3 linked regions of the Arabidopsis thaliana genome follow. The protein of the gene in region 1 interacts with the protein of each later gene in a pairwise test. Each region holds a gene or a part of one and is shown in the gene's direction. Other genes may lie near its edges. The genes, in order: TGA9, ROXY1 and ROXY2.

Region 1 (11,446 bases):
AGGGTTAGGAGGAAGGTGCGACGTGGGAATCACTCACTTCCTTATTTGATTTCCAAGTCTTTTATTCATTTTTATATTTAAGCATAACAAGTAGTATTAGAGTGGGTTTTACTCCCCCCTATTTGATAACATCTGTCTCTCTTACTTTTTCTGTATATATGACGTATCTACTGTATTTCTTTTTAACAAGTTTATATTACCCTTTTATGAATTCTAACAAAACAAAAAAAAGTGTGAAAAAAAAAAAACAGAAAAAAACTCTTATCCTTTGAGGCTTTCAGTTTGACCCCAACAAAATAAAATAAAATTACACCATTAACCAAGGTTAAATTACATCAATTGCAGATCTTTGTACCATTGCTACAATCTAACAGCCCAAACGAATATGGGCCTGAAGCAAACCAAATAAGGATGTGGCCCATTTTTACATCATATGACTGTTACCGAATCAGAAAGTCAATGACAATAATGGAAAATATGCAAATTTGACAATTTTCACCCAAGATAATGGTTGTTGAAGAAAATTACACAGGATGAAACATTTAGGCCACGAAGTTTTGAATATTAGGGTTTTGGGCCTCTCGGCTTGTTGGACTTTTTAGATCATGCTAGACCAAAACCGACTACACTATTTTGAGTAAGTAATTCAAAAATCCCAATTCGTTAGAAAACGAGCTTGAGTAGTTGTCCCAAAGTGATTGATCATTGATGTCTACATAATAATATGCATCCTCCATATAAGATTATGGCCGGTATTGGGCTGAGATGGTAATCTAAACATTATTTTGATGCCTTGATGGACAAATTAATATTGAGATTCTATAAAAGCTTAACCGTGAGTTATATACTTCTACCGAACCCAAAAAAAGCATCTAAAGAGCCGTGAAAAATAAATTCTCAATTCGGAGGGGGTCATTATGACACAAACTAAAGGAATAAAGCCATGACAAATGTGGATTTGCAAGAGAGCTGCATTGACTAAAACAGCTATACGAATCAAAGGAGGCATATAACAATTTCTAATAAAGGAAAGGAATCTGAAATGTGGCATTAGGATTTAGGTGATGACAGGGAGTGGATGTTGACCGATCAACAAAATTATAGGATAATACCAAACTAATCAATTTAAATAACACTCGATTGAGATGTTTACAATAATTATTGATAATTTTAATGCTATTTTCTATATTTATTTACGATTAATGCAAGAAGGCCGTTTAATTTTATCTTATTGGTCTACATAATTGTCATTATTCTAAGGCTTTTTTGGTTGAACTGGTAGAGGCAAAATAGTTAATTATTCAATACTTAAGTATGTTAGGTTAACCGACTAGAGAAAGTTGCTCTAGTTCTATTATATCCAAATTTGAAACTTAAAGCCTAAAAGCTGTTAATTTTTGAGAAGAAGAAAAAACTTTCAGAAACTGTTTCACATATTATCACTCTCGGCTTTCAAAAGGTTATAGACTGAAGATGAAACTAAAAAAAAATCTGTAATTATGTATAGTGTGTTACATATAAGTAGACGTATTATATTCATACTATTCTTATCCCTCTCTCTGTCTCAAAGGTCATTTAACAAAAAGAGTTGTAGTTTAGAAATAGAAACTCACTCGATTCTGCTATTTTAATATACATACACAAATCAACAAACATTCCTTATCCCACATTAATGCATTGTCTTTGATTATGAATTTATGATTATGTGTATTAACATTATTTCATCACTATCTCTAGTACTATTCCAATAACAAACTCATTAGATCATCCAAATAATATATATAATTTAGCTTAAACTATAGCTGGGGAGTTGTATTCGATCATTTAGTTATAGTATATATTTGTTTACTAGACTAAAGATATATATATCATTTTTTTTTTGGCAAAAATATAAAGTATATGCTGTATATATCATGCCCATTCAAAGATTCTTGATATAATTCTAGAATTTTCCTGTTAGTTTTCTTTTGGTTTTAGATTAACACACAGACTACTTAGAAAAAATAACTTCATGCATGATCCATGCTGCTAAGATGATAGAGTGAAACCCAATTCTTTTATGCAAATTTCACCACTTTACTTTCACATATACAGATACGTATTTTGATATAGGCATGTACGTGAATACGATGAATAATACTACAGAAAAGATGATAGATTATTGAAAAAATGTGTACGTGAATAAGCCCAAAAAGAGATTTGATGAAAAAGAGCCAATAAGCACAAACAGGCGGTTACAAAGAGAGAGAGAGAGATTGTGGAGTAGGAGTCAGTGATTCTAGTGGGTTCCTCCTCTTTTTCTGCTCTCTTTCTTCTATTTTTATTTTATGGACTAAATTACAAACTCTCATTTAATTTTCTTCTCGCTCAATTTTTTTCTACCTAGAGAAGTCGATAGTTTTCTTAATAATCTACCTCCATTTTCTTGTGATCGGTCCAATTAATCTTATATCCAATCATCTTATTTATCTTCTACATATTGGATAAGGCTCTTTTATTCTTTACCAAAGATAAAGCTCCATTCTTTTTCTTAACAAGGATAAAGCTCTTTTAATTAAGCACTCTTAGACTTTTGATTTTCTGTTTAACTTCTACATTTCAGGTTTGTGTATGAATAGAGATCGTCCACTCCATCTGATCAATTGCCAAGTACTAGCTTCACCCTTGACAGCTATAAAGTTAGTCAACTAAATTTTCAATTTTCTGTACAACTTTTTTGAACCCAATATTATTATTTGGAAAACAAAAAAAAATGCAACACATAAATATAGCCTGGAGACAAAGTCTAGGAAGGACAAGATCTTCGTCTGATTTACCATGAAAAATTATCAATATTTCTTTATTGTTTTCTTCAATAAAATTTTGAAATTTAGCAAGTGGAATTTGTGTTTACTATGGAAATAGATAGAGAAAGGTGGTGAAAAGGAGAGAGTGATGATGAATCACAAAGGTTTCTTCACATACAAGTATAGAGAGAATAGTAATAAAGAGAGAAAGAGTAATGATACTATACATTAGTCAATTACTAATACTTTATTATCATTTCTCTATCCAACTACAAATATATACACGCCCACATAATTTTGTATATGTATCTCGGAAAGAGAAAAGATTGGACCCTCTTTTGTTTTTCTGTTCAGCCATAAAAAAGCCTTTGACGAGAAAGCTTCCATTCTACTTTCTCTCTCTCCTCTTTGTTCTCAAACACCAAAAGCAAAACATCACAAAAGGTAAACACATAGATATCTTACTTTCATGTTCATATCATCAACTAGCTTTTTCTTTTCAAATTCCAATCATTTGATCAACTAATCAAGAATTAATTATAAGACTTTGCAATCTCTCTCCCTCTCCCTCTCCCTAGCTAGTTCTCTCTTGTGTTTCTTAACTCGAGCTTCTCTCAATAGTGATTATCATCTTTTTCATCATTTCAAGATTTAATGTGTTTTGCAGAAAAGAGACTAATCAAGAAGAGATATCATCAATTGAAGCTGTTTTCTTGAGTAGAGATGGCGAACCATAGAATGAGCGAAGCTACAAACCATAACCACAATCATCATCTTCCTTATTCACTTATTCATGGTCTCAACAACAATCATCCATCTTCTGGTTTCATGTAATTAACAAATCTTCCTTCGTCTTTTCTTCTTTACATATACATAAAGCTCAACTTTATTCATATTACATATCTTAATATTGAGCTCTAATTGAATTTTATATGGGTTTTCTTTGTTTATTCTCAATTTGTCATTTTCTTAGTAGTATTATGATATGTTATACGGTTTCATTTATGAGATATGAAATGGTCAACGGAAATCTATAGGTAAAACAGAAACTAAAAAATGTGTTATGGATCATCCGAAATAGGTTTTATATGTGCTTTAGCTTTTGTGTAAACTTTCATTATATGCGACCGTCTTTATTAATCTTCTAACTCAAAATGCGACCCTCTAATCAAGTATTTATATTTTAATTTAATTGTTGTTCCTTTTGGTCTCCAATTTTTCTTGGTTTCTGATTGTATAGTTGTAGTAACACATGATGAATATTCTCTTTGTACTAATTAAACAATACTATTAATAAATGAAACAGTAACCAAGATGGATCGTCCAGTTTCGATTTTGGAGAGCTAGAAGAAGCAATTGTTCTGCAAGGTGTCAAGTATAGGAACGAGGAAGCCAAGCCACGTAAGCCCCCCTCTCTCTCTCAAATCTTCATGACGTGAGCTTTCCTTAACAAACTCCAATAAAGTTTTTAAAATTCTGAGCAAAAAACTGAAACTGGAAAAAACAAAATAAAAAGCTGAGAGTAGTCTGAACAAGTCTTTAGATAGGTTTAGGTGATGATACGGAGGCAAAAGAGAGCCTTGGATGGCGTGACTTGTTTTTCTATTTCTCTTCTCTTTATTTAGAAAATAAGAAAAGAAGAAAATATCTTTTACCAACTCCCTAACTTCCTCTATATCAAAATATTCATAATTATACTATTAGTAAAATGTGTCATGTTATATATAGATTCCACGTGATAAATGATGTAGTTAGTTCTAAGTAGAATATATTGTAGTACTACTTAAATTACATCAAAAACACATATACATGCATGCACACATTTAATAAGTAGCTAGCATACTACATGATTACATATGAACATTACATATCTGATAAATGTAATGATGGGTAAAATTGCAGCTTTATTAGGAGGAGGAGGAGGAGCTACGACTCTGGAGATGTTCCCTTCGTGGCCAATCAGAACTCACCAAACTCTTCCTACTGTACCCTTTCTTCTTCTTTGACCCTTTCCTCTTGTTTTTTTCTCCTTTTTCGGCATTCCTATTTAAACTTAAAACTTATATTTTCATTTTACCCTCACTTTTATATACATGTTTCAGCTTTCTTGTTCCTCTTACTATCTCTTATTTTTGCTTCTTTCAACTCAAAAGCTGATAGCGATTTTAGAGTAGTTAATTACTCCATTCCTTTCTCTTGACTTTATTTTATATTACATAAACTTATAGTACCCCGTTTGTCAAATTATATACGCTAAGGTCAATTCCTCCTTAGTTACATTGATTATCCCTTTTCTGACTTTTTATTAATTATCTTATACGTTAATGATGATGAGTATGATTATGTTGAATATGTATTGCAGGAGAGTTCCAAGTCAGGAGGAGAGAGCAGCGATTCAGGATCGGCTAATTTCTCCGGCAAAGCTGAAAGTCAACAACCGGAGTCTCCTATGAGTAGCAAACATCATCTCATGCTTCAACCTCATCATAATAACATGGCAAACTCAAGTTCAACATCTGGACTTCCTTCCACTTCTCGAACTTTAGCTCCTCCTAAACCTTCGGAAGATAAGGTACTCATCATCATCATCATCATCATCATCATCATCATCACTTTTTAAAATTTAATTTTAGAAAGAGATATATGCATGGTACGTACTTGGAGTCATCATGAAACATGCATGCTTAATTTGGTGCATGTACATGGTATGTATATCATTAGCCTATCTCTCTCTCTCCTTGTCATTTGATAGATATGCATGCACATGCTTTTTCATATATGTCTATGTCCTAACAAATCTTTCCAATAAAACAAAAACATACACAGATCCCAAAAAGGAAACGGATCAGAGAAAATTCAGAATTTTGACCTCTCGAATCGTTGATAAAATAATGAAAACAGACAAATTTAAAATACAAATTATTAAATGAAATCCCCAAAAAGCGGAATAAAGCAGAAGAATCTTCCTAGGTGTTATTATTGTTTTTATAATTTACTTTTTACTACATGATTACATATCCTCATTTCTATGTTTACTTTAACAACACATATATTCCCTAAATGAGTTCATATTGCTTAGATTTAATATTACATTAAAAAAAAGTATTTAATAATGCTGTTTTTTTAATTGTGTGTAAATGGTATTTAAATATTTATCACATGAGTCGACTTCACTCACACAATTTAATTTATGTTTACTTTCTTTCCACTGAATGAATTTCTATTTTCATCTCTGTTCTCTGACATTGCAGAGGAAGGCTACAACTTCAGGCAAACAGCTTGATGCTAAGGTACTTTAACTTTCATCATCATCATTTCCTATACATTTTATTTGACTCCCCCGAGGAGACATATCCATTCCTATATATGTACTTACTTTTTAGTAACCTTTTTTACCTGAATTAATTCGTTAACTTCTTGTTTAAATGTTCTTAAATCTGGATTATGCAGACGTTGAGACGTTTGGCCCAAAATAGAGAAGCTGCTCGCAAAAGCCGTCTTAGGAAAAAGGTATGACCATATAATTGCCTGACTTTTCACCTCAAATTATTATCATTTGTTTTTGTTTTTTTGACCTATTTATATATTCTTTGCTACTTTTTCCAAATGATAATTTGTTGCATAGAATTACAATAATGCTATTGCTACTAGTAAAACATACGCAGTGGTGTCTTTTATTCTTCTTGGAAACCGCTGTTACATGAGCATTTATTTCTTTATCTACCATTTACCAGTCTTCTATAATTCATTTATGAACGTATAAGTTCCGCATTTCTTGTTATTCTATATGTAATGATACTAGTATGAAAATAACAAATGCATATACATATGGTTTGAGCAGGCGTATGTGCAACAGCTAGAATCAAGTAGGATAAAGCTTTCCCAATTGGAGCAAGAACTTCAGCGAGCTCGTTCTCAGGTTGAAATTGAATCATTTATATTCCTATAATCCTATATATTCTGCTAAATCTTTTTTTAAATTTGTCAAAACCTGTCATTTGCTAAGTTTCTCAATTGTTCATTGGTTATTAATAATGTCTGTTTGTTGAAATTAATATATTGTTTATGTCGATGGTAGGGGCTGTTCATGGGTGGTTGTGGACCACCAGGACCTAACATCACTTCCGGTACTTGAAACCTAAAACACCAATTGCAATGTATTATTGTATTAAAATAAGTACAATAATGGTTAAACTATTATTAACAAAATGTTGAAAATCGAATGTACGTAGGAGCTGCAATATTTGACATGGAATATGGGAGATGGCTAGAGGATGATAACCGGCATATGTCGGAGATTCGAACCGGTCTTCAGGCTCATTTATCTGACAATGATTTAAGGTTGATCGTTGACGGTTACATTGCTCATTTTGATGAGATATTCCGATTAAAAGCCGTGGCAGCGAAAGCCGATGTTTTTCACCTCATCATTGGGACATGGATGTCCCCAGCCGAACGTTGTTTTATTTGGATGGCTGGTTTCCGTCCATCCGACCTAATCAAGGTTCGACTTGTTCTTCCTTACTTTACCCCATGATTACAAACGTAAGTTTTAGGTTTTGCGTTTGAAAAACAAAATGATATTCACGTTAGTAAATTACATCAACAAATCTGAAACATTGCTGCAAAATGTAAACAGAAATGAGTATTCTTCGGTTTAATTATTTGCGTGTGATAAAAAAGTTGTGGAATCATGATTAACTAAAGAAAGGGATGTGATCTTAGATATTGGTGTCGCAAATGGATCTATTGACGGAGCAACAACTGATGGGAATATATAGCCTACAACACTCGTCGCAACAAGCAGAGGAGGCTCTCTCGCAAGGCCTCGAACAACTTCAGCAATCTCTCATCGATACTCTCGCCGCATCTCCAGTCATTGACGGAATGCAACAAATGGCTGTCGCTCTCGGAAAGATCTCTAATCTCGAAGGCTTTATCCGCCAGGTTCCATTTTCTCACCTATCTTTTTTTTTTTTTTACTTCATTTGCTCGAACAATAATTACAAACGAATGCAAACGAGAGAAAAAAACACCGTGTGAAATATACACAAAATTTGACCTACTATATAACTGTAGATAGTTTTTGACTAAACAAAATTTGCAACGTATTTTGGTTTATAGTTAGAGAGGAATTCGAATATATTTTTTAGAAATATATTGGGTAAATTTTAACGTTTTATATATATACTAGATGTACAAATGTTTAAAAATGCGGAAATACGTGCATATATTTTGCGTACATATATGAACAAACGTATGTGCTGGCTAAATTATCTAATTGAAAAAAAAACAAATAATCCAGAAACAGACAATACGTGAAAGCAACATTTGATGTTCTATAATAATTATATGTTGTTTTGGTCTTTGATTTAATTATTCCAAGAGCCAAATTTCTTTCACCAACTTGTTTTTACCTTTTATATATAATATAGCTGAAAAAAAGACAAAGAGAATATGTTAAAAGTATTCTCCATCTCTTTCAATGTTTTGTTTTGAACTCAACAAAAATATTTTAAAAAAATTTCTTGTTTTCAAACATTATGATCAAATTGATTGTTATTGATATGTATTGACTTTTGTAATACCCATTAGCCCACCAAGGTAGTAAGTAGGTATGCAATTATAATTATTAGTTTTTAATAATATTACCAAAAGAAATATTGAAATAATCTTAAAATGTCAAAAGATGTGATTACTAACTGTAATCTTTTTCTTTCTATTATTAATCTAAATGAAGGCTGATAACTTGAGGCAGCAGACCGTTCACCAGCTGAGGCGGATCTTGACCGTCCGACAAGCTGCACGGTGTTTCCTAGTCATCGGAGAGTACTATGGACGGCTCAGAGCTCTTAGCTCCCTTTGGTTGTCACGCCCACGAGAGTAAGACACATTTTTATGCATATATACATTTCATAGACGTATAATAATGCTAAAATATGAATTTGATATCGGGAATTATCAATGTGAATAGGACACTGATGAGTGATGAAACCTCTTGTCAAACGACGACGGATTTGCAGATTGTTCAGTCATCTCGGAACCACTTCTCCAATTTCTGAATGGAATGAAACTTTGTATAACTAAAAGGCCAAGTTTCATTGTCTGTCGTAATTTCACCTATTTCCTTTAAAGTTGTACTAGAGAAAAGATAGGATCTTCCTTCGACATTCTTCTTTTAATTATAGTTTTATGCTACTATGAAATTAACGTACCACGAAAAAAATGAATGTTGAATCTCTTCGACAGTACAAGAGGATGACTGAAATTTAATTTCACGAATGCTTTGGAGAGGATGACTGAAATTTAATTTCAATTATTTTCAATTTTAAACAGAAACGTAAATATCTCTACAAGTACAAGAACAAGAGCATGAATTTTTTTCGTACGATCAAGTTTTTCTTATGGAATAAAGATCTGACACATGTTCCTGAATCCTGGATAAAGAAGTACAATTCTGGTATAAAAAGACAAAGTTGTACCTTTTTGTTGACGAAAGAAAAAAGTTAAGACCTTTAATTCCCACTTAGATGAATTATCAATGACTCTTTCATTCTTGTTTACTCTTTAATACAATTAATACAAGTGGCTTGTTCAACAAAAAGTCGTAACTCCATCATCCAATAAACGATAATTAGGGTTTGAAGATAAAGATAAAAAACAGAGAATTGTTCTCTATTTCATCAAAATCTTCTCAATGGAAACAGCAAAGCGTAGAACCATGTCAACAATCGTCTCCAGGCTTAGCTCTGTCTCTGAGCAAACCAGAGCCGCTGCTTTAGCTGAGCTTAGACTCATCTCCAAACAAGATCCTGATAGCCGTCTAATCATCGCCGACGCCGGAGCTATTCCGTACCTCGCCGAGACTCTTTACTCGTCGTCACACTCTTCTCAGGAAAACGCCGCCGCGACTCTCCTCAACCTCTCAATCACCTCTCGCGAACCCCTAATGTCTTCACGCGGCTTACTCGACGCGCTTTCTCACGCGCTTCGTCATCACGACACCACCACTTCCCCCGCCGCGGTTCAATCCTCCGCCGCTACGATTTATAGCCTTTTGATAGCCGAAGAGTCTTACCGACCTATCATCGGATCTAAGCGCGATATCATCTTCTCCCTCATTCACATCATTAGATATCCAGATTCGCATCCTCGATCGATCAAAGACTCGCTCAAGGCACTCTTCGCGATCGCTCTGTATCCGATGAACCGATCGACGATGATCTCTCTCGGCGCGATTCCGGCTCTGTTTTCGCTGATCGTGAAAGATTCGCGGTGCGGGATCGTTGAAGATGCGACGGCGGTTATGGCGCAAGTCGCTGGATGCGAAGATAGCGAGGACGGGATGAGGAGAGTTTCAGGAGCTAACGTTCTAGCGGATCTGTTAGATCCTTGCACTGGTTCGAGCCTACGGATCAAAGAGAACTCCGTTGGTGCGCTTTTGAATCTGGCGAGATGTGGAGGAGCTGCAGCGAGGTCTGAAGTTGCGGCGGCGGTTGCGTCTGGTGCTGATGAAGGAGCCATGGAAGGGATCGTGTATGTAGCTGAGAATGGTAGTCTGAAAGGAAGGAAGAAAGCGGTTGATCTGTTGAAGCTCGTTGTCTCCGGTAATGGCGGCGGCGATTCACGTTTTGATTATTTGTTCAATGAAAATCCAAATAGCAGAAGCAGCTGATTGCACAAATATCTCAAATGTTACTTTGTTTCACTAATACATTCATTGATTCAAACACTTTATATTATACACATATATATTGTCATTGTACAATGTACACTTTGAACATACTTTGTTTTGTAGAACTGAATCAATCAATCAAACACAGAATCTGTTACAAATCAATTTATTTTATACAGCTTTTGTTGTTCTTCCTTGAGCAATAGTGCACGTAGAATCGTATCGCAAATGCCATCGTAGTGTACGATCAGATGTCCGCCTTGGGGGATTTCGTGGTAGTTGATCAAAGGTTGTTTCTGCAGAATGCATCTTTGAAGTTGAAATGGAACAACTTTGTCTTCCTTACCATGCCAGATGTGAATATAGCTCTTTGTACTGATGCTTAGATCCGCGGGTTCGAAGTCCCATTGCCCGAAACAAACCATAAAATCGTCCCTTAGAGTATCGAAAACATTTCTTTCCCGTAGCTTTTCCTGTAAGGTAGAGATATATAATCATGCCAAAGCTGATCAATCACAACAAACTGAAGAAAACTAGGAGTGACCTTAGTAAGCATGGGAAAACCAGTTTTTCGCTTGAGCACTTCTATGTCGTGGCTGTTGAAGTAGACCGGATTGCTTTCAAGGACCGAACTAGTTGAAGCGAAGAGCTTTTGAATGATCCACCAATGTAACAGTCCAGGTGCATATTTTGATATCCTCAAACCCCATTTGATAATACCTGTCCTATAATCTTTTTTGATTAGCTTCTTCGGAAGTGAAGGCCATCGATAATTAACCACCGGAGCAACAAAAGCCACGCCGGATAACCTGCAAAGACAACGGAATAGTTTCTCATCTGTTTACAACTTATCCTTAAGGGTTTCAGGAATGGTTAAATTGCCTGTGAGGTATGTGTCTTAGGCAACCCCAAGTAGGGTAAGATCCCATGGAAATTCCAATTAGATAAAACTTAGGTCCTAACTCCAGCTGATCTGCAAGTTCTG
Region 2 (6,766 bases), on another chromosome or scaffold:
TATACATTAGTAGTATTTGCAGCATTAACAAAACTACAAAACCTCGACCTTGTAAAACTATGACATAATAATGAGTAAATATATTTAGGGAAAAAAAAAAAAAAAAAAAAGGGAGTGCGTAGACAGTCAACGGGAGGATAACGTCAGCAGCGAGATGAGGCAATCAAAGGAGCAAAGCCTGAAAAAGTAAAGCCGTCTTGTCGGTTACTCCTTTAACGGCCCCTTCTCCTTCTTCTTCTTCTTTTATTTTTATTTATTACAGTACATCTTTAAGATATATAGAGAGAGTTAATATTGCTTCTCTTCTTTTCTTAAAGCTGCTCTTCTCTTATTTACCATTTTGCCCTCTTTCTTTAACTATATAGTACGTACTACATTATTAATTAGTAAATTAAAAAAGGTAAACACACAAAAAGTACGCGTGGAACGTGTTAAAAAAAATTTAAAGGAACACCAATTCAGTTCTTAAAATAACGAATAAAAGAAGAGAGGAGTGTTTTGTGTACGAATAAAAAAAGAGAGGAGTGTTTTGTGTATTAATAAACAATAGTCGAGGATCATTCGGAGTGCTAAGGTAAAAGTCTATTAATATACTCCTCTTGTATGGAAGATAATACTCAAAGAATAATGTGTTCACGTAAATACGACTAGTACTACATAAAAGCCTTTCAGTTATCAGTGGGGACTGCAAATTCCGTATCAATATGATCCCTAATAAATAAGCTAAGGGATGATTAATTGGGTTTAGGTCTGTTTAAGCGAGAAAGAGAAAAAAAGGTTCAGGGTATAGGGGGAGGCGAGGCGGCTCGCGTGGGGCACAAAACTCTGTTTCATCTCTTCTTCTCTCTCTCTTTTTTTTCTTTTCTTTTATTGTTGTTGTCTTCTTAATTCTACTTCTATTTACCACTTTGTTGCCAATGTCCCTCTCTTCCTCCCGATGGTCAATCACCCTCTCTCTTATTTTGAATTTCTTTTTTTCTAATTTAAATCCGTATGATTCATTTGTGTCTATCCCATTCCTTAATCACTGATTTATTTACTCTATTTCCATTTCTTTTTTTGTTCCTCTTATATTTTACAACGATATATACAATTAATATTTTATTTACACGATAAATTACTTCGAAATATACTAAACACAATTGTGAATATTCAGTTTGACCATTGTTTAGTACTAATTATACTAAACAATATTTCAGTTTTATAAAAGAAAGCTTTCTGAATGAGGAGGCTTGGATTGATATATAGTTATAACTTTGGTGTCGATCGGCATTATTATATTTATACTATATTTTTTTGTTAAATATTATATTTAAAACTATTTACTACGACTTTTGTTACTCGGTTATATATTTTTGTTCCAATATTAACTACGATAAAAGCTTAGAACATTAATTTCCTAGATTAACTATGCACATATATGTAGCGGTAAACAACTGTATATAATAAATGAATTGGGATATACAAATGTTGTGAAGCCTAAGTTAATTATTAGGTGGCAATGAGGGATAAACGCAGTTCGTGAATGTGTGTATCAGACTATCAGTGCGATAAACAAACAATTAAAATAAAAAAACAATAATAAGTGAAATCTTATGTTGTAAACAGACAAAAACTTGTGGTCGACAAAAAATAATAGAGGGCCATGCACCTGCATGCAGAACAACATATCGACGTATATCTCGATGAAATACTTTTATCTTTTGGTGAAATAATAAGATAGTTAGTGTTAGTGATAAAGATGAGTGGGATTGCAGTTTGCATGGGCTTAGGGTTATATACTAATTATAAATGAGGATTTTTAGGGGAATTCGTGAGCACTCCCACAATACCCTCACCGCCTTTTCGCCGCGACACCGACATGCGATATCTTCCTTTTTCTTTTGCCTTCTTTTTTGTTTTTACGTTTTCCATTTATTTTTTTACTAACTAAAGCTTTTTGGAAATTCAATATACATTATAACATATATACATGTTCCATAGCATATACAGCTACACCACGCGCATACATAGGCACAGATATGTACCTTCCTCTGTATCAGTGTATTACAGATATATATGAGCCAGCTGTTTGTATATATATAATATATACATTGTTTTATAACCCGTAGGGACATATCTTGGTCAGGTGTTGGAATCAGACTCGGACCATTATACTTCGACGATAGAACTCTCTAAAGCTTATTTTAGGGTTTAGTTCAAACCCCACCTTTCATCTCCCTATCGGCTTTGTTTCACCGTAAGAGGTAAAAAAAAAACGAAATTTGAAAATATAAAAATATGAAATGAAGATATATTTATAACAAAGCACAACATTAATATTGTGCAAAGAGAGACATACACACAGATATTTATAAATGGCAAAGACCAGATAAAGCTGAAAAGATAGCATCACGCTCGTATTCTTTCTATTTTTTATTTTGATATCAATTTATATATTTTGTTGTACTAATTAATATAGGCCAGAGGGCTCTCGTTTCCTGCCATCTAACCCTACCCGTCCGATCGATCAAAATCTCTTTTTTTTTTTTCTTTTTCTCTCTAAAATGTTTTTTTTTACAAGAAGAAAATCATCTTTTTATTGATAATCATAAAACGAAAGATTTTTAAAGTTTTGTATAATGTTAGCCTTGTATATACATATTTAAACTTTGAAGAATAAAAAAAAAAGCCAAAAACAGAAAAGAGCTAGATCAATATACAAAGGAATAAGGAATGTTCAAAGTTTCAAGTTTCAGGCGTTGAATACGAACTTCAGAAATGTTCAAAATACCCTTATTGAAAAGCATGTACATACGCTACTCGAAAGGGTTAATATCGGAGAATCGGTTGAACAGATCAAACATTGTATGACAAGTGTTACGTAAGTCTTCTGTCAGGAAAACTAGATTTTTAAAAAAAAAATCAAAAATCAAAGGTAAAGCGATCCGACAACCACAATCCGACAAGATTATTTATCTTTTACGATTTCTCATGCAAAGATTTTTTTCCAGAAAAGAAATACATGAGTTTAAACACTAAAAGAAGTAACTTTCTTTTTCAGCTAGAGGGAGCATAACTGTACGGACTTCTCTTACTATATTCAATATACATATAAAATCTTCTCTTCCATCAATCCTTCGTTTTAAATCTCATTTTAAGATTTAATTTATTGTGGAGCTCAAACCTGAGACACACAAAAAAGGCATTTCGTGTATAAAGGACACAAGCGTGGAAGCCAAAAGCATGTCACAAACTACAAACTTTGTAAACTTTGAAGAAAAAAAAAAAAGGCTTTTTCTATATAAAATTGTTCAAATTTTAATATTGTTATAATTAAACCCATCCAAATTAATTCATGGGTGCTGTTCTTATAAAATATGTACACATCATAATTCTCGAGTCATAATTCTTTTTCTATATATATAAGGAGGATGCTATTAATCTGGATAAGAAACATAAGATTCTGACTCCTTAACAAATTATGATGTGATGATTACACATTTGCTGGATTGATGATTACTCGGTCGTATGGAATTATATATTTTACAGAGTAGAATGGAATAAAAGAAAAACCCTGCCAAAATCCATATTGTACAGATTGAGGGAGCTTATCTACGTGGAAATTATGGTTTCTTACTTTATGATCATGTATCTGAAAATACAAAGAAAGAAAAAGAGAGAATTAAGTGGTAAGAAAATTAATGGTGAGAGCGGTAAGAGCCGACAAGAAGGACAGACGGAGCCGTCTATTACCAACAACTCCCTTCTGATAAAAGCCTGTTCTTCAACTCTCCTTGCCTTTTTTTTTTTTTTTACAAAAAAATGAAATTATTCCGATAACTATTATCGGTGTTTGTTTTCAACAGCAATCACTATCTTGATGTCATCGGTTTTAATTCATATGTTTTGTTACTTTTTTTCTTTTTTTCATGGAGAAGTAAATAGAGGTCATGTTATTATACACAAATAATAAAGAAAGAAACAATAATACTAATAATTAGAGGAAAACAGAGTTAGACTCAGAGGTGTAGTAGGCCTCTATAAATACTCTGCATGGCTCTCACTCTCTTCTCACCAACAAACTTTAGCCAATCCCTCTTTCTCTCTTATTCGTGTTTAATCTAGTTTCTTTCCAAACAAAAGTGTAACAAGAGAAAGAGAAGAGATATCAAAGATGCAATACCAGACAGAATCGTGGGGATCATACAAGATGAGCAGCTTAGGATTCGGCGGTTTGGGGATGGTGGCTGACACTGGTCTGCTTCGTATAGAGTCCCTGGCTTCTGAGAGCGCGGTGGTGATCTTCAGCGTGAGCACGTGCTGCATGTGCCACGCCGTGAAGGGTCTCTTCAGAGGAATGGGCGTCAGCCCCGCCGTCCACGAGCTCGACCTCCACCCCTACGGCGGCGACATCCAGCGAGCCCTCATTCGTCTCCTCGGCTGCTCCGGCTCCTCTTCTCCAGGGTCTCTCCCGGTCGTCTTCATCGGCGGTAAACTGGTTGGAGCTATGGACAGAGTCATGGCTTCTCACATAAACGGCTCTCTCGTTCCTCTTCTCAAAGACGCCGGCGCTCTCTGGCTCTGATCCCTTCCTCTGCTTTCTTTTTTCTTTTCTATTTGAAGTTTTCTTGTAAGAGAATGTGGTGGAGGAAGATTAGGAAACTAGTCAATGGCTGTAATGACAGGTTTTAGATTATAGTTTGTAATTAGAGAGAGAGTTGTTTTAAGCTCACCTTTCTCTGTCTTCCTCTTCTTCATCTCTTATTGATCTTTCGAATGCTCTCATTAAATCATAATAGTAAACACTTTGCATCTTTATTAATGTCCCCTGGATCCATTAATCAACGGTATTAACTGACGCCGTATCTATTCAAAGGCAGTTCCTGTTATTTTGTTCACACAAATTTACACACAAGGGACTTGTTGAGAGGGGATCGCTACGATCAGCTTAAATGATGCCCTACTCTGTCTAACCTATACAAAGCACACACACACTCTATGACTATGAGTGAGATAGGTGAAGCTTGAAGCTACTTGGGTTTGAAGATGTTACTTAGCAAATACCCCATTGTAGTTGTTTCGTGCGAAGGCCTGCTTGTACCAAGAACAGAGCAATGCTCCTTCTCCTTCTTCTTCACCTTCAGCTTGCTTACTCCTATCTGTTGTCTGATTGACTCCACGATTTTTGATTCAACCGGGTTTCCAGTCACGTCTGTAACGTAGAACGTGTCTTTAGCCTTACCCTCTCGCGTTGATATCTCTGCTCTCACAATGGTTAAGCTGTTCTCTCGGAATGTTCTGGTTATGTCTGAGAGAAGACCAACTCGGTCTTCTGCTGATAATTCCAGCTCTAAACCCTGAAAGTATGTTTCATATGCACAATCTGTCTTGAGTATATCAGAAATCGATGCAGAACAGAATGTAATTTGAGCCAAGACAGAGAATTTTCACATTCCTAATTGGTTACCTCCGATGCTCTCCTCTCAATGGCTGCTTCCAGACATTGTATGACACGTTCTTGCTCTGCTTCTGAGTTTATGGGAAGTCCATCCACATGACGGATGTAAAATTCCTGCAGCAAAACACTCATATTATTGTTAGAAGAGAGATCCCAACAGACGGCCGTTGAGTAGTTACCTGATAAGCCTCCACTGGTTCTGTGCTGACCATGCCATGGAACACCACATACTGCATATCAGTCAAAGTACAGACTACGTCAAACACAAGCTTTGGTCTATCTTTGGACCTCATGGTAACAACGGTATAATCCTTCTCAATGTTCATTAGTGTGACACTGGGCCTTGACGCCGATGTCCTTGCTCTTTTGACTCCCTCGTAGTCCCTATCATCAAACATGATCTGATGCAACCGTCTCTCCCTGTGTGTATCAGAACAAGAGAAGACTGTTTTCGCAGCTCTTGAGCCGCTGTTTGTCCTCACTACATTGCACAGCAGCTCCTTGATGGTGGAAAGGCGAATCGGGTCAGTAATGGCAGAATGAGTTGAATTGTCCGTGACATGAATAACCGCTGCAGCTCTGGTGTTGTGAGTCCATATCTCAGCGTTCACAACGTTGCAGTGAAGGTCTGTGAGAACAGCAGATACTTCAGACAAGAGACCGGGTCTGTCAGTTCCAGCGAGCTCAATGGATGTGTATTCGTCAGTGGGCATTACACCAACTGAGCTTCTCAAAGGTGGAATGAACCACCCAGCGTTGCTCTCTATCCTCTGCGCAATGAATTCAACAAACGTTTTACACAAAGAAAAAAACCTGTTGAAAATGAAAGAAAAAAAGTGATGAAATACATTAGAAACCTTTTGGATATAGTCAAGGACTTGAGTGTCTCTGATCTTATTGCCATCTTGGTCGATGACTTTGAAAACGTCCATGAACCAACCTCCATCGGAAGAGATGTAAGCTTTCTTGATCACAAGATTCATATCAGTGAGCACTTGTACTACTTCCAATAGAGTCCCATGTTTGTTCACACTATCAACCTTTTATTTAGCACCACAAACAAACAGGGAACTCTGTTTTCTCAAAATCTCTTTGTTTGGTACAGAACCACTTGAACAATTTGAAGAGACAGATTTATTTACCTGAATAACAGTGGCATCGTCGCTTGCGTTGTTGTCTATTACAACTCTGTATCCACCATGAAACATACATAAATAAAGATGAATGTTTTAGCAGCTGGAATCTTTACAAGGGTATAGAGGCTCACAAACGGAGCATGGAGAAACAGAGGACCTAGAAAACAATAAAAGAGTATGGAGAGAAAGA
Region 3 (7,116 bases), on another chromosome or scaffold:
TTGGACATAGCAAGCACCCGTATGCTTGGCCAATATGGTTTCCTTGCCAAGGTAATATAATTGGATAATGATATCTTTATTCGACTTTGTTTAATATCTCACTGGAAGCATACTCACTGTCTCGTGTGCAGGTGTTTACCACATTTGAAGATTTAGGTATATCGGTTGATGTTGTGGCAACAAGTGAAGTTAGTATATCATTGACATTGGATCCAGCAAAGCTCTGGGGTAGAGAGTTAATTCAGCGAGTAAATGTAATACTCCTTTGACTTTGATAGATTGTTTCTTTTGTGAGGGTCATATGTGGTATTGGTTAAAGGGACTGGGTGTGAACAGGAACTGGATAATTTGGTGGAAGAGCTAGAGAAGATTGCTGTTGTGAAACTACTTCAACGCAGATCAATCATCTCTCTCATAGGAAATGTTCAGAAATCCTCACTCATATTAGAGAAGGTGAGTGAGAGTAACATGTCTTGTGTTCTCTTTTGAATTTTGAAGTTTTAATTTAGTGGGAATGGAATGAATGACAAAACAGGTGTTCCAAGTATTTAGAAGCAATGGAGTGAATGTGCAGATGATCTCGCAGGGTGCATCTAAGGTTAGATGGAATCCGCTGCTACATGATAGTGAATGAATATGGTTTACTTATGGTTATAGTGAATGGGGATATGTGTGTGTGTGTGTGTGTGTTTCAGGTAAACATCTCATTGATAGTGAATGATGAAGAGGCAGAGCAATGTGTGAGGGCTCTCCACTCCGCCTTCTTTGAGACCGATCCTTAGTGCAACACAGAGCACCCATCTCTCTCCTTCAACTCTGCTTCTGTGCGTAGTTTAATGCTAAGAATGTGTCAAGACTTGGAACTATTTCAAATTCTTGTCCATTGTTGTTGTTGTTGTTGTTGTTGTTGTGATACAATACATCATAATTTGAGCCAAAGCCTATAATCTTTTAATTTAAAGAGTACATAGACAAGCTCAAAAAGAAATAAAGAAATAACCAGTGTGTTGAGTAGGGATTCAGATTTAAAGCTTAGTTTTTAGGATTTAAGATTTGGTTTTATGACATAAGGTTTACAATTATTAGTCAATGGTAATTATACTATTTTGTTCACAAGAATTAAGATATAAATTAGTTTCTTCATTTTGACATCAGTATATTTTCATAATTTCTTCTTGTCAACAAAAGAAGAAAAAAGAAAAAGAAAAACAAATTCAGTATAGAAGAGAAAGTGAGCATTGAAGGAGCAGGCTTAGGCCAACTCCAATGGGACTCTAAAACACCATTTTAGTGTAATTTTTGCACTAAAAGCTCTCCAATGGAACTCTAAAATTCACACCATTTTAGTGTAATGCTACAGTGTTACATCAAATTTGGTGTGATACTATTCACAACTCTAAACACTATTCACTTATTATATCAATAAAAATTCAATTAACAAATATAAAATTACAAATGATTAATAGATATAAAATATAAAAATGAATGGATACATTAATATATTATATCTCTTGAAATAGTTTATTTAGTTATGATATTTTTATATTATTATGTATGAAAATACTCAAAATAGTTACAATTTTATGTATTTTTAAATATATATTTCAATATACTATGTTTATAATGTTATGTAATTCTATACTAGTAATAAATACTAATCAAAACTATTAAATAATAAAAGAAATCTTTTAAATAGATAATATAATAGTATATATTTTTTTTAGTATGATTTTTGGTGTTATGGTCGGAAAAAACACAAGTTTTAGTGCTAAAAATGATGTAATTTGAACACCAAAATGGTGTTGAGCCTTGAAGATGCCCTTAGAAAGTAAAGAAACACTTTAAATGATACCGAAAATACCCTTCCTGAAAAGCATAAGCAACAGTTACTTGACCAGGGTCATATCCGACCGACCAGCCGGTCAACGAGAAATACACATCTGATGAAATCTGTTACGTAAGGCTTCTGTAACGGCCTTCCAATTTTTTCCATATAATATATGATAAAGTGGTCCGACAAACGCAATCCCTCAAAGATTGTTATTTTATCATCATCTTAAGAACAAAGATTTAGTCCTCCAAATCATATAAATCAGCTTTAATTAGTTTATACACCAAATCTTAAACCAATGAAGGGACATTTAACTCTTCGGACTCACTTAAACTATATATACCCATATCTTAAGCTTTCTTTTATTTTCTTAAAAAGTAACAGAAATGTTCTCAAATAGATCGATGTATAGAATATGAATAATTTAGGGATATTATTCATATATAATCAATCGATGAGAGGTGACTCTATATTGCAGATTGGGTACCTACAAATTTCATAACAAGTTGTTTGTGCTGACAACGATAAATGTTTTTATTTTAGCATTTTTCCTTTTTATGGAAGGGGTTGGTCAAACATGAGAAACAAGAAGGCAAATTTTGCAGATAACAAAAGGAAGGCAGAAGCATGCATGAAAGCCAAAAAAGCATGTGACCAACTTTGTAAAATTCAACCTTTTTTCTCAGCCTTTTGGTAAAATTATCTACAAATCCAAACTATATATATATGGAACTATACATTTTTGTCTAACTGAATTCACAACATTTAATAATCATATATAAAGAAAAAGATGGTAGCAAACCAAGAACACATGCCAACTTGTAATTTCCATACATCAAGAACACTGACATTCTGATGGTAAGCAACTAAACACTGTTGGCAACTACAATCTCTTTTAAAAGTTCATTCTCAAGAATATTGATGACTCCTTTATTTCTTTTTATATAACATTAACTAGCCAATTTTCTATATCCCATTAGGGGCTAAGAATAATAAAATGGTTACGAAATTCGATCTTGATCACCAAAAGATATTCCAACTTGTATATATGTTTAGCGCTACATTTGTGAGATGCTAATTGGATTACACAATCCAAAATATATATTCCACTCCTTTTGCGATCATATTGATAATGGTATTATATGTAGCTTGTTTATAGAGATTGATTAGAGAGGATTTGAGAGCATAAAGTGAATACGGAATATAATGGAAAACCACCGGCCATATATCCAAACATTCGACCTCATCTCTGCGTTACGACTTGCTCACATAATGTTGGCAGCATCAAATTTATTATTCGGCGCGTCTCTATATACAATATATATATATACACATGAATATTGGACCATTTGTATTTATATATATGCATATATTGGACCATTTGTATTTGATAATATTGGACCAATTTCGCAGACAAAAACTAGCTAGCTAGTGTAAATGTGTAAGAAGATATTACAGAAAAAGCCGACAAGAAGGATAGATATATCCATTACCAACAATTCCCTTATTCTACTAACCTATTTAACTGAATAATATTCTACTTTTATATGGTTGTAAAATCTTGAAAAAATAAATAATTATACTTAAATGGGACTCAAATGTCTCTTAAAAATATCATCCTATCATAACAAAAGCTAGCAACCATGATGGTCCATGACTATCACATCAATAACTTTGTTATCATTTGGCATATCCTCTCTAATAATATGCCATTTTAAAATAAATTAAAACCTACCAGTTAAATTTAGAACTTCACCATGTATAAATACTCTGCATGCCTCTCACTCTCTCCCCAACCAACTCTCACACAAATTCTCTCGCTCTCTCACTCTCTTATTCTCTTTCTCTTTTTCTCTAAGAATACAAAAAAAGATGCAATACAAAACAGAAACTCGAGGGTCGTTGTCCTACAACAACAACAGTAAGGTGATGAACAACATGAATGTGTTTCCGTCGGAGACACTGGCGAAGATAGAGTCGATGGCGGCAGAGAATGCGGTGGTTATATTCAGCGTGAGCACTTGCTGCATGTGCCATGCCATCAAGCGTCTCTTCCGTGGAATGGGCGTCAGCCCCGCCGTCCACGAGCTCGACCTCCTCCCTTACGGAGTTGAAATCCACCGAGCTCTCCTCCGTCTCCTTGGCTGTTCCAGCGGTGGCGCCACATCTCCGGGGGCACTTCCGGTGGTGTTCATCGGAGGGAAGATGGTAGGAGCAATGGAGAGAGTGATGGCTTCACATATCAATGGCTCACTCGTCCCTCTTCTCAAAGATGCTGGCGCTCTTTGGCTCTGATGAGTGCTAATCTCATCCTCCAAATATCAACCTTTGGTTTATCTTTGGTTTTTAAGGACAGAAGAAATAGGTTAATCCCAGTGTTGAATTAGAGACAGTGAGAGAGAAGAGTGATGCGTTTGTTTTAAGCTTAGCTCTTTGTCTATCTTAAATCACACTAATATATAAATGTTAACTAATCGCTATGTCTCTTGTTAGCTTTCTTATCTCTAATTTTACAATTTGACAGTTGATTTGCAAAATTTAATGGTCATTTTTCACAAATAAAAATTTGCCATGAAAATAAAATAAAATTAAAGGTCAAACTAAGACAAGAACGAGGAGGTTATTTTCATGACCTAAAATCTTAACCGTTATAACTGTTAACTTGTGGGGGAAATAATCACCTCATGAGGGGTCCCCACTCCAGATTACGTGGAGACCCACTAACAATAATCCGTGATTTTGACCCGACCGTTGCGTCAAGAAGAGCCCGTACATGATCATCCAATAACGTCACTGATTTTACAGCTATCAATTCCTTCCTAATTCATTTTTGCTTTTAAAAAACAAATTAGAGAACACTTCTTCAGTCATTCATATTTCATACAATCACATGTCACCTTTTCTTTGTTTTTTCTTCTTCTCAAAGTTGTAAGAAAACTACAATTACAAGGTCACATTATCTGAGTTTGGAAGGTTTTTAAACATTTCACTTCCATTACAACTTTAAAGGGCTCATCAATTACCATGATGAGTAAAAGAAGGAACTAAATAGCATATATACCTTGAGATAAGTTATACTCATTAGAATAATTCTTACGTAGACAATAAACGACTCGTAACGTGTAAGTCACCCAGAGATCTTGATTACAGCAGTATAGGAATCTACACAGAATAAAGGGAAATACAATTTGGGGAATCTAATCTAATTGCCTATTGGTGTAATTATGTGTTCTCAATTGCTCGAATAAATGGAAGAATGGAATCAGGATCAGATGATGAACAGAAAGACGCCAACAGGTCAGAAGATATTGTGTGAACAAGAGATGGCGATACCTCTTTGATCCATTGCATATGTCTAATTCCAATCTCAACCTCTTTCGCATCCGCCACACATTTCAGCAACACGACATGTGCTCCTGTGTGTTCTAAGTGTTCTCTCTCGCGCAGCAGCTGCGATGCCTCACCAGAATGGCCTTCACACATACACACCAAACGAATCAATAAATATCTTGACATGAGGCAATTGGAAAAGACTAGAAGACATATTTGTTCTCTCTCACCGTTGCTGCATAGATTTAAGACAAACTCGCTTAATACTCTTCTTGTAACTGTTTTATGATCCCTCTCCATGCACTTTCTGAAAACTTCCATAGCAGCTTCAATTTTTGTCTCCTTGCATAGGCCTTCAATGAGTGACATATAGATTGTTTCATCTGGTTCTATCCCTCTCTCAAGCATCTTGTCAAACAGCCTTAAAGACTCCTCTGCCTCGCCTTCCTCTGATAATTTCCTAATAAGTACATTATATGTCGTCAGATTCATTTTGCAGCCCTCCACAAACATCTCATCCCACAGTTTCTTTGCTGGACGGATCATTTCCGCTTTGCAACAAGCTTCAATGAGAGCGTTATAGAGTGAAACGTCTGGAGCAAGCCCTTCCTTCTTCATTTCTTGCAGAGCAGTGTAACTTTCTCTGACTCTCCCAGCCTTGCACAAGAACGATATCATCAGACTGTAACTCTGAAGTTCTGAGAAATAACCTTTGCTTGACAAAAGCTCATAAGCCTTTATCAGATGATCACTCTTGTCATGCCTGCAAAGATTCTTACTTAACTTGCTCAGAGTCCGAATAGCAGGCAATTTCCCTGTGCTGACCATGTAAACTAAGAATTCAACAGCAGAATCTGGATCAACTGCAGAGACAGATCCAATCAACGCGTCTAAGATATCATTATCCATAGGGAATTTTCCACTCACAATCACCTCAGCCACTTCCTTAGCCTCCGTTAATCGCTTAGCTGAAATCAAATCCAGAATAAAAGCTCGGTAATCGCTGCTCCTAGGTGCTACTCCGAGCTTTCTCTTCTTCTTTAAAACAACCTGTCTCTCATACAGATTCCCAGTAACTACAAACGCTTCAGCTATGACCCTATAAGCCATAAAATCCGGTTTGCAATCTATGTTCCTTAGCTCTTCCAATATATAAAAAGCATCCATTTCTCGTGAACACTTACAAAGACTATGGAGAATCAACAGTGCAATGATTGAGCCATTGATATTCAAATTAGCCTTTTTAACCTCATCCACCAATCTCAAGAGCTGATTCGTTTCAGAACTTCTACAGAACCATCCTATATAGACACCGAATCCAAGAGTGTTCAACGAAACACCTTTATGACGCATTTTAACAAACAGTTTCTGTGCATAATCATAACATCCATCAGAAGTTAAACCAGCTAAAAGACGATTGCATACATCGGGATGAATCTCCTGACCCGTTGAAAAAGCTTCTTCTAAAACCCAAAACGCACTCTGAGCTTTCCTACCCAGCACAAGCGTATCAATGAGGGAGCGATACACGGAAGAATCGAGAAGGATTTTGTTCGATTTAACCTGTTTGAAAAGAGCGTCCATGGCGGAGAACTGACGAGAAAGCGAAAGAGACTTGAAGATAGAGTGGTAAGATATGGAGTCGTGAGAGTAACCTGGTTGCTGAGCAGCCCAATTGAAGAAACCGAGAGCAAGAGAATGATGATTCAGCAGAAACGGGTCTATGACTCGAGCCACAAGCGAAGGGCTTATTGAGTGACGAAAACCGAGACCGTGAAGACTCTGTTCAATCAATGGACTCCATATCCGAGCAGCTCGAGAGCTTCCGGAAACTTTTAGCAGCTCTCGGCCGATCCTCACCGCAAGCTCCGTCGCAGGTCTCATGGCCGAGAAGCTGACGTCAACATTTTCAGGGAGTCGCTGACAAGTTGGAGAAATCGAATTTGGTTAATGAG

What was found.
Region 2: the proteins of TGA9 (region 1) and ROXY1 interact in a two-hybrid assay, tested with the Arabidopsis thaliana proteins (one study listed by BioGRID).
Region 3: the proteins of TGA9 (region 1) and ROXY2 interact in a two-hybrid assay, tested with the Arabidopsis thaliana proteins (one study listed by BioGRID).

The regions. Positions count from the first base shown.
Region 1 is NC_003070.9:2,619,515-2,630,960, reverse strand, and holds TGA9 (bZIP transcription factor family protein), read left to right. Parts: upstream 1-2,366; 5' UTR 2,367-2,678; intron 2,679-3,032; exon of another isoform or gene 3,033-3,140; 5' UTR 3,141-3,230; intron 3,231-3,239; exon of another isoform or gene 3,240-3,453; 5' UTR 3,454-3,509; coding exon 3,510-3,616; intron 3,617-4,092; coding exon 4,093-4,187; intron 4,188-4,688; coding exon 4,689-4,771; exon of another isoform or gene 4,772-5,148; coding exon 5,149-5,358; intron 5,359-6,037; coding exon 6,038-6,076; intron 6,077-6,236; coding exon 6,237-6,296; intron 6,297-6,627; coding exon 6,628-6,705; intron 6,706-6,864; coding exon 6,865-6,913; intron 6,914-7,018; coding exon 7,019-7,290; intron 7,291-7,511; coding exon 7,512-7,733; intron 7,734-8,526; coding exon 8,527-8,669; intron 8,670-8,760; coding exon 8,761-8,848; 3' UTR 8,849-9,101; downstream 9,102-11,446. Other genes in the region: AT1G08315 (ARM repeat superfamily protein), read left to right, coding at 9,484-10,461; AT1G08310 (alpha/beta-Hydrolases superfamily protein), read right to left, coding at 10,623-10,934, 11,006-11,270, 11,344-11,446. UniProt on the Arabidopsis thaliana protein: Together with TGA10, basic leucine-zipper transcription factor required for anther development, probably via the activation of SPL expression in anthers and via the regulation of genes with functions in early and middle tapetal development.
Region 2 is NC_003074.8:330,313-337,078, reverse strand, and holds ROXY1 (Thioredoxin superfamily protein), read left to right. Parts: upstream 1-4,006; 5' UTR 4,007-4,156; coding exon 4,157-4,567; 3' UTR 4,568-4,804; downstream 4,805-6,766. Other genes in the region: ACR6 (ACT domain repeat 6), read right to left, coding at 5,013-5,339, 5,450-5,554, 5,620-6,210, 6,298-6,480, 6,583-6,628. UniProt on the Arabidopsis thaliana protein: Has a glutathione-disulfide oxidoreductase activity in the presence of NADPH and glutathione reductase. Reduces low molecular weight disulfides and proteins.
Region 3 is NC_003076.8:4,538,212-4,545,327, forward strand, and holds ROXY2 (Thioredoxin superfamily protein), read left to right. Parts: upstream 1-3,568; 5' UTR 3,569-3,703; coding exon 3,704-4,126; 3' UTR 4,127-4,374; downstream 4,375-7,116. Other genes in the region: CARAB-AK-LYS (Aspartate kinase family protein), read left to right, coding at 1-51, 132-254, 337-453, 536-598, 696-782; AT5G14080 (Tetratricopeptide repeat (TPR)-like superfamily protein), read right to left, coding at 5,054-5,304, 5,392-7,045.